Danio rerio: one gene and its partner. The protein of the gene in region 1 binds, or shares a complex with, the protein of each later gene. Links are inferred from orthologs where the notes say so. Each region holds a gene or a part of one and is shown on either strand. Other genes may lie near its edges.

Region 1 (3,826 bases):
ATGGCGCATAATAAATGCTTGATGGAAATGCCAAGATGCACATGCATTTTGATAATCCGCAAAAAAAAAAAACAATATTATCTGTATGCAACCTTGATGATGCAAGCTGAGACTGCAAATCTCAGTGATGCAATGTCCGAAATAATGCACTCAGTGGAGCTAGTGACATCACTGTGAAGGGTGGGGTTAGATGAGCATATTAAAAAGCACTGGACGCAGGTCAGATTGACTTGCATCAAGTCTGCATCCAGACCCCTCTCAAAAAAAGCAGGCGTACAACCACTGATCTACTAAGATGGAAACACATTTACAGATTAAACTCCAGCATGCGCATCAGAAGTCCTGTGACTTCGTTTTCAGATTATGAATTAACAAATATTGGCAGGACAAGATGCCAATAATGGACAAACCACCAGACTGGTCAAATGCTGATTTGGTCATTGTAAAATCCCTTAGCCAAAGTACTATGTCAAAGTGGTTTGGTATAATAACTCCCCAGAACTCTCCCAAAGAGTAGTCTCGACACTTCAAAACCCTCAGTGCATTCAATAGATTTCGCCGCCTTCATCTGAGCCGCAAGTAGTTTATCCGCTTGTTAAGTGGTGACGTGTTTGTGACGTATGTAATCTGTTTCCGGGTCCAAGCCGCCATTCATTTGAGTGGAGAAATCATTCGTTTATGATAACGTTTTATTCCTAATACACATTAAACTTAATTTTAAAATAAATAAAATCGTAATGTACACAACAATCTCTGGGCTTACTGCATAACAAATACCAAAAATTTAACAATTTATAAATAAAATTTGTCACTTTCTGGCCATTTCATTACTATTACCATTTCATTAGTCGAGCGCTTAGCCCTGGAAGCCGCTTCGCGTGACGTCACACTTAACAAGCGGATTATATAGAAAAAAAATTCCCACAGTGGCTTCTTCTGTCTAGTAGTGGTGTAACAGATCCCAAATCTCATAGATCGGATCACACTGTTTTTTGAGTCACGGATCGGATCCTTTTTTGGATCAGCAAAAAAAAAAAAAAAAAAAGGAGACAGATGTAATTTATTACAAAAACAGTAATGCAAGAAACTTTTGGTTTTAACAAACAGAACTTAAAATCTGTCACTTTACTAAAAATAAAATTAAAGAAATAACCAGCTGAATAAAAAAAGGTAAACATGACTTAACATTAGCATTAACATTAGCACTTTTTGTTCGCACCCGAGTTCGTTTGACGTCATATACAGTACGTTTAGCTAGTGTGAACGTGTCTTCTGAGCTTGGGTGTGCACCCATGAACCGTGAACCGTACAGGAGTCCCCCTGAAAGAGATGGTCTGGGGTAGGTACGGTTTGTGCGAACTCTGGTACGGTTCTGTTTAAAATGTATAATTTGGTTGATGCGTCTCGAAAGACAATTCCAAGATTAGTGGAAAGGGGTTTAATATGGACATCGGAAGAAACAAAGCTCTAATATAATTATGGGCAGAGGAAAAAAAATCAGTGACAATTTTTTGATAGTTGTTTGTCGCCACCTATTGGATAAACAATGTAATTGCCACAACTTTCAACAGCGTCAAGTTGCATTAAACTGGGATTTGAATCTTTAGCTTTAATTTTAATCTTTTATCTGTGTTATGTTTTATTAATAAACTGTTATCCCCGTACCTCTGTGTTATTTGATTGTTTGTAACTTTGTAACTACCTGAAAAGTGTACAAATTAAATCTCTCTCGATCAAATGCAGATTTGAACGCAGCACATGGAAGGACTAATAGACATATGCAGATTATTTATAATTTATGTTGCGTGGGTGTTTGAATTGAGATCCTGATATTTTAATTGTGCACTTATACTCAATCCGTTACACCCCCTACTATTCAGCAAATAAAATCTTTATTTTTACAACACAAATAAAAACACTCCGCTACTCATCCGTTTGCACTGGCTGCCAGTTGCTGCTCGCATCAAATTCAAAGCTCTGACGTTTGCTTACATAGCGACTTCTGGCTTTGCTCCTTATCTGCTCTCACTTCTGCAGATCTATGTGCCCTCCAGAAACTTTAGTTCTGTGAATAAACGTCGCCTCGTGGTTCCATCCCAAAGAGGGAAGAAATCACTTTCCCGAACTCTCGCATTCAATTTGCCCAGTTGGTGGAATGAACTCCCTAACTGCATCGGAATGGCAGAGTCACTTGCTGTCTTCAAGAAACGACTAAAAACTCAACTATTTAGTCTCTACTTCCCTTCCTAATCTGCAATTCCCTCTCTGGCTCCACCGCTAACTGTACTACAAAACAAAAAAAAAATTACTAATGGTTTTGCTTCTTACACTTTACATACCTGAAGCTTGCCTACAGCACTTATTCATTGTTGCTCTTATAGTTGTGTAAATTGCTTCCTTGTCCTCATTTGTAAGTCGCTTTAGATAAAAGCGTCTGCTAAATGACTAAATGTAAAATATTTATCTTTACAACACTTAAACGGAAGAAAAAATTATTGCAAATTATCAATCAGGCAAATAAGATAACTGGTCACAAACAACATTCATTGCAGATTTTGTTTGACTCCTTTACGGAAAAAACAGCAGTTGTGATTTTTAAAGATACTACACATCCCCTTCACTCAGCATTTGAATTGTTACCCTCAGGACGCAGGTTTAGAATTCCTAAAGCACGAAGAAATGCTTAGAAAAAGTCATGCTTATAAAAAGGCATCCCAATGGCAGTGTTTTAAATCGGATCATTGTTTGAAGTGAATGTGGTGGTTGCAGAGAATGATCTGCAGTAGTTTGTATGGGGCTAATTTGGTTTTTATACTTTTAACTTATGTTGTTGTCTTGATGAGTGTTGTTAATGTGTGGTTGTTGTATGTTTGTAATTGTTGCCTTTAATCCAGTTTTAAAGACAGATTTCCTTTCTGTCAAGCAGGACGGACAATAAAGTTTAAACTAAAACTATTTTGATACTTGGAGAAACTTAATCAGGAAGTTATCATTTTGTTCTCTTTGACTCATTGGATGGAAACAGTGCTTTATTCACAAACGCTTTATGCAATATTCCAGTTTTGCACATCTTTGGATGGAAATATAGGTATTTATCATTATTTACATTAATGCACATTCACCTTTATCATGCATGCTAGTCAAGAGGTCATCAAAGTCTTCCATTGTTCCAAAAAGAGGGTCAACGTCTCTGAAATCCTCCACATCGTATCCAAAGTCCCTCATAGGAGACTTGTAGAAAGGACTGATCCAGATCGCCTTAATGTTCAGGTACTCGAAATGACTCAGTTTCTCCTTAATTCCTGAAGAACATCGAATTATTAAAACATCAGCTACACATTTGCGCACCTTTGATCTGACGCTCAACAATCCACACTGATATTACCTTGACCAACCCAACCTTTATCATCCCAATCTTTTGACATCTATATGTGATCATTTTATTATACTGCATGTAGAAGATAAGCGTGTTTTCGACCTATCCACAGTGTTTGCTTTGTGATGAACATGTTTTAAAGTAAAACACTAACAGCCCTGTAATGTGCTACAGTAAAACCTCATCATGGCATGTGTAGACCCAATTTCAGCCATTATATAAGAGCAATTAAACAACCTCCTCCACTTGCATGAAAATAAATATACAGCGGCATAGAGCCATTATGAGGGGAAAACGTGGCCTTTGTTTGTCTGTCCAAGCCATCAATACCCTCACTTCTGAAATATCACTACAACTTAGCTCAGTTTTTTAAGCAAGACTTTAGACCTTGTTGTTTTGGATTTAGGCTCATTTTCTAATAAATAATCTTAAAACAACAGAAAGTATTAT
Region 2 (4,314 bases), on another chromosome or scaffold:
ATTATATGAAAGATAATTGCATTTTATATTTATTACAGTCCAGACAGACTAATCAGTGGATGATTACTATGGTTTTTATGGATGGATAAACCACGAATGTACTGTTTAAAAATGAATCTGCACTGACATATTACTTATAATACAGCTAGCTAATACTACTCAAAGTGTACTACTTTTTGTTTTATATTTGTTCAATGAAAGGCTGCCACTGCAGTCTCCAATCACAAGAGCACAACAATAGTGTGATTGAGCACTTGAAAATGACTCTGCTGACCTTACACTGAGATGTTAACCTAGATAAGGAGCAAACTATAACTCTAGACCATCCCAGAGGACAGCTTTAACAAGCTTTTCCTCCATCATCGGCTTTAACTGTTAAGTAGCAGCTGTAAATCTGCAGTGTTTAAATGTACACTGTGACTTTTACTTCATACTGAGATTTTGATGGCCTGTCACAAAATCTGTCACACACTCTTAGTACAATGGTGGTACTTTTTCAAAAGGTACATTTATTTATTTATTTTTTACAGTAGAAACTAAAATAGACCCTTTAGGTGAAAAAAAAAAAATACTTCCAGTGACTGCATTTTGTATTTCTGAGAGTGCAAATTCATCAGAACAATTTTTTAATTCTATGGCCTTTTTTCATTTATGTATTAAACAGTGTGATGCTTTAATCCAATACTTAATAGTAATGTCCAGTAGAGGGCAGCACTACTTTTCACATTTTCTGTTTGTTCCACTGATTGAACAGGCCAAAGTCAATAATGACTAGGCTAAATTCTGTCTTTATAATACGCATCACTTTTGTTGCCTTACTTTGCTTTAAGACAGCACAGTTAAACAAGAAACTCTATATAATTAAATAAAGGCCTTATAAAAACAACTAAACATGTCTATTTTTAAAACTGATGACTAATTGCTGCACTAAGTGAAGGAGTGAGAGTACTATGAATCAATTCACAGAATGAAGAATAAGACTGCTGGAGAGGTATACATTACCTGACAAAAGTCTTGTCCCCCATCTAATTTTAAAAAAAAACAAATAATAACTTGACTTCTAGATGATAATTTGGTATCAGGAGTGGCTTATATGAAAGGCAAAGGCCTTTAGATTACACTTATTTTACCTAACTAAAATATGATTATGCCTTTAATTATTTAATTAGGACAGTAAGGTCTGACTTTGCTTTGACAAAAGTCTTGTCACTCAACAGAAATAATGTACAGTATAAACTCATGGTGCAGTGGAAGAAGATTTAATATTGTGTATGACTCCCATGAGCTTGGAGGACTGCAGCCATACATCTCTGCAATGACTCAAATATCTTATTAATAAAGTCATCTGGAATGGCAAAGAAAGCGTTCCTGCAGGACTCTCAGAGTTCATCAAGATTCTTTGGATTCATCTTCAATGCCTCTACCTTCATCTTACTCCAGACATGCTCAATAATGTTCATTCCTGATGACTGGGCTGGCCAATCCTGGAGCACCTTGACCTTTTTTACTTTCAGGATTTCTGATATGGAGGCTGAAGTATTATAAGGAGTGCTATCCTGCTGAAGAATTTGCCCTCTCCTGTGGTTTGTGATATAATGGGCGGCACAAATGTTTTGATACCTCAGGTGGTTGATGTTGCCATCACTCTGAAGATCTCTCGCATGCCCCCATACTGAATGTAACCCCAAACCATGATTTTTCCTTCACCAAACATGACTGATTTCTATGAGGATCTTGGCTCCATGTGGGTTTAAAAATCGGTCTTCTGCAGTATTTGTGATGATTGGGATGCAATTCAACAGATGATTCATTGAAAATTGACCTGCAACTTTTTCAAACAATCAACTAGAAATCAAGTTATTATTTGTTGCTCTTACAATTGATATCAACGACAAGACTTTTCTCAGGTAGTGTATGTACATGAGTGTATTATCGATTAACTTCTGTTGTCAGGACCAAATGTTCCCTCCTGAGTAAAACCAATACCTTACACCAAACTTGAAAAAAATAAATATTATTATGACACAAAACAATACATAATTTGATTACTTAATGCAAAAATATTCCTGCAAGGCATAGCTAGTATATGTTTAGAAAATGGAAAATAGTGTTAGGCCAGAATAAAAACAATAAAAAGACAAGTCCCCCAAAGATAGCTGTAAAAACATGTGTGTGTTGCTCATTGGCTTCGAGGGAACTCAAGGTGCAGTAACGTTATAAGATGTCCTTGTCATTTTCCTCTGCTGTCAAAACCTCAGTCCACTGGGCCTGTGAAAGAGAACAAGTGACCTGGACTTGCAGAGATGTGCTTCACATTTTCATAAGCATACAAACACACACACACGCTCTCTCTTACACACACATAATGCCTTCTTCCTCTTACCTGTGATAAGTTGTATCTTTTTGCAGACAGTCGTCCTACATTTTTATCCTGATTTATAACAAAGCAAAGGCACTGCATGTTTCTTCCAACTCTCCAGTTCACTGGGCTACTCTATCAGTAAACATTCACATCACATAAACATATTCACATAACTGATGTATATTAAAACAAACACACATGCACCACATTAAAAACAGCCAGTCAGTAAAATAAAATCAACAAAGCAAACGAAGACATAGCTAAAGCACAGCAATGAATCAATAAACGGTTAACAATCAGCTGAAATATTACACCACTGCTAATCTATGAAATTTATCATCTATACCCTACAGCTAACCAGCAGTGCTCTATTTCTGCAGTGAGCTTGTACACATGCACACAGACTGCAGTTCTGAGACGCACTGCTACAACACTGTGCATAGTGATTGCTGGATTATAATTTTGCTCTAAATCAGTGCTGTGCTATTATGGAGAGAACTATTGGACTGTCCTAATTATGCTGCAATAGTCAGACAGGCTTTTTTTTTTTTTAATCGATTAGGTGTATTGCAATAGCGTCAGTCTTGTTAAATTGCTGTATCTCTGTAGATTTGTCCTGACCACAGCTGATTTGCTTGGGAATTACTGTTTACCTATGGGATTAAAATGCCTCTCTTTAGGAGAACCTTGTATCAGAGTTTTTATAAAGATGCTGCTTAAAAACAAATAAGCTCCAGAAAACATGAGAACAGAAAACTATTTATTTGTCAGCCCAATACCTTAAAAACAACAAAACAGTCTACACTGATATATCCTTGTGGCCAGTGTGCCAACAAATAGTGTCATTGAGCATCGGGTGGGCCAAGTTCGAGTCCGGGCTTGAGAACCTTTTTAGATCCTATTTCAATTTTTCTCTCTCCTTATTCTTCAGGAGAATTACTATTCTAATAAGTGCAAAAAATAAAAATAAAAATAAATAAATACTACTACTACTAATCCGATTATTAAGTCCTGACATATGTAATACTGTTTCTGACTCCATTCCATTACTCAATTGAATTGAGAAAGTATTTGTTTATGACCACTTTTTAGTCATATCAATTATTAAAGTGAATTTTATATAAAATCATGGTGTACACAACAGTCTCTGGGCTTGCTGCATCACAGACACCAATAATTTTACAATTTATGAAAAATGTATCACTTTCTGGCCATATTAGGCTTGGATGTATGATGGATGTGTGTGATTTTTGAAAGTATTACAGCTCTTTGTAAATGTTTATTATTACCATTTGTTGAGTCTCCTTATTCAGTTTCACAGAGCGTTTTTCAGTTTTCATTGGACCCGGAAGCTGCTTCGCGTGACATCACACTTAACAAGCGGCTGAAATAAAAAATCTCTTCTAAAAGAGAAAGTGGCCTTGTGCATTTCCCTTTGTTGGAAAACATGCTTTGTATTCAGAATAAGATTTCAATATTAAAGTTGGTGCAAACTACAAGATGCAATAGCCTTTTGTCCCCATTTGTAATGTCTAACTAAATGCAGACTTCTTGAGCAAAAAATGTAGTGCAGGAATTTAATTTGTCCATCAGAAATGGATTTGATCATTGATTGTTGTAGCAAAGCATTAATGTTGTTGATTATAAGATCACACAAATTACATAAAAATGATGAAGTTTATGGCAAACCATTTACAATAAAAGCTGTAATATTCCACAATTAAAATAATAATGGCTGCTATTTCTTTCATAATGGTTTGTAAATAACCTTGACCACTTTGCTGATGGAAGCATGTAAGTGTAAATCAAATGGGCTCTATGCACAGCTAGAGTTTTAAAGCCAATGATAAACTTCCGGTGAAAGCTTAATCGGACTATTTTCAATTTCACAAGTTGTTTTTACAGCATCAATGATGCAATGTAATTTAAATACTTTCAGTTAAATAGACTTA

The links.
Region 2: the proteins of slc3a1 (region 1) and slc7a9 are in contact, whole or in part, in a cryo-EM structure (PDB 6LID), measured with the Homo sapiens proteins. The link is inferred for Danio rerio from reciprocal best matches to the Homo sapiens genes SLC3A1 and SLC7A9. Residues at the interface, in NP_000332.2 of Homo sapiens: Pro64, Tyr65, Ala66, Gly67, Met68, Pro69, Lys70, Leu73, Phe74, Phe76, Ser77, Tyr82, Pro85, Arg86, Phe90, Thr93, Val97, Leu100, Ile101, Ala103, Thr104, Ile107, Ile108, Ser111, Cys114, His201, Asp202, Thr373, Glu374, Pro375; in NP_001119807.1 of Homo sapiens: Cys137, Phe140, Tyr141, Val142, Gly143, Cys144, Pro147, Ile149, Val150, Cys153, Leu154, Ala156, Ala157, Leu160, Phe161, Thr164, Leu168, Thr279, Thr281, Asp295, Arg296, Tyr299, Tyr343, Val346, Arg347, Lys467, Thr470, Met471, His472, Gln474.

What each region holds. Positions count from the first base shown.
Region 1 is NC_133188.1:11,097,473-11,101,298, forward strand, and holds part of slc3a1 (amino acid transporter heavy chain SLC3A1), read right to left. Parts: intron 3,303-3,826; coding exon 3,123-3,302; intron 1-3,122. UniProt on the Homo sapiens protein: Acts as a chaperone that facilitates biogenesis and trafficking of functional transporter heteromers to the plasma membrane.
Region 2 is NC_133182.1:38,718,070-38,722,383, reverse strand, and holds the start of slc7a9 (B(0,+)-type amino acid transporter 1), read right to left. Parts: upstream 2,975-4,314; 5' UTR 2,384-2,974; intron 1,043-2,383; exon of another isoform or gene 1,003-1,042; intron 1-1,002. UniProt on the Homo sapiens protein: Associates with SLC3A1 to form a functional transporter complex that mediates the electrogenic exchange between cationic amino acids and neutral amino acids, with a stoichiometry of 1:1.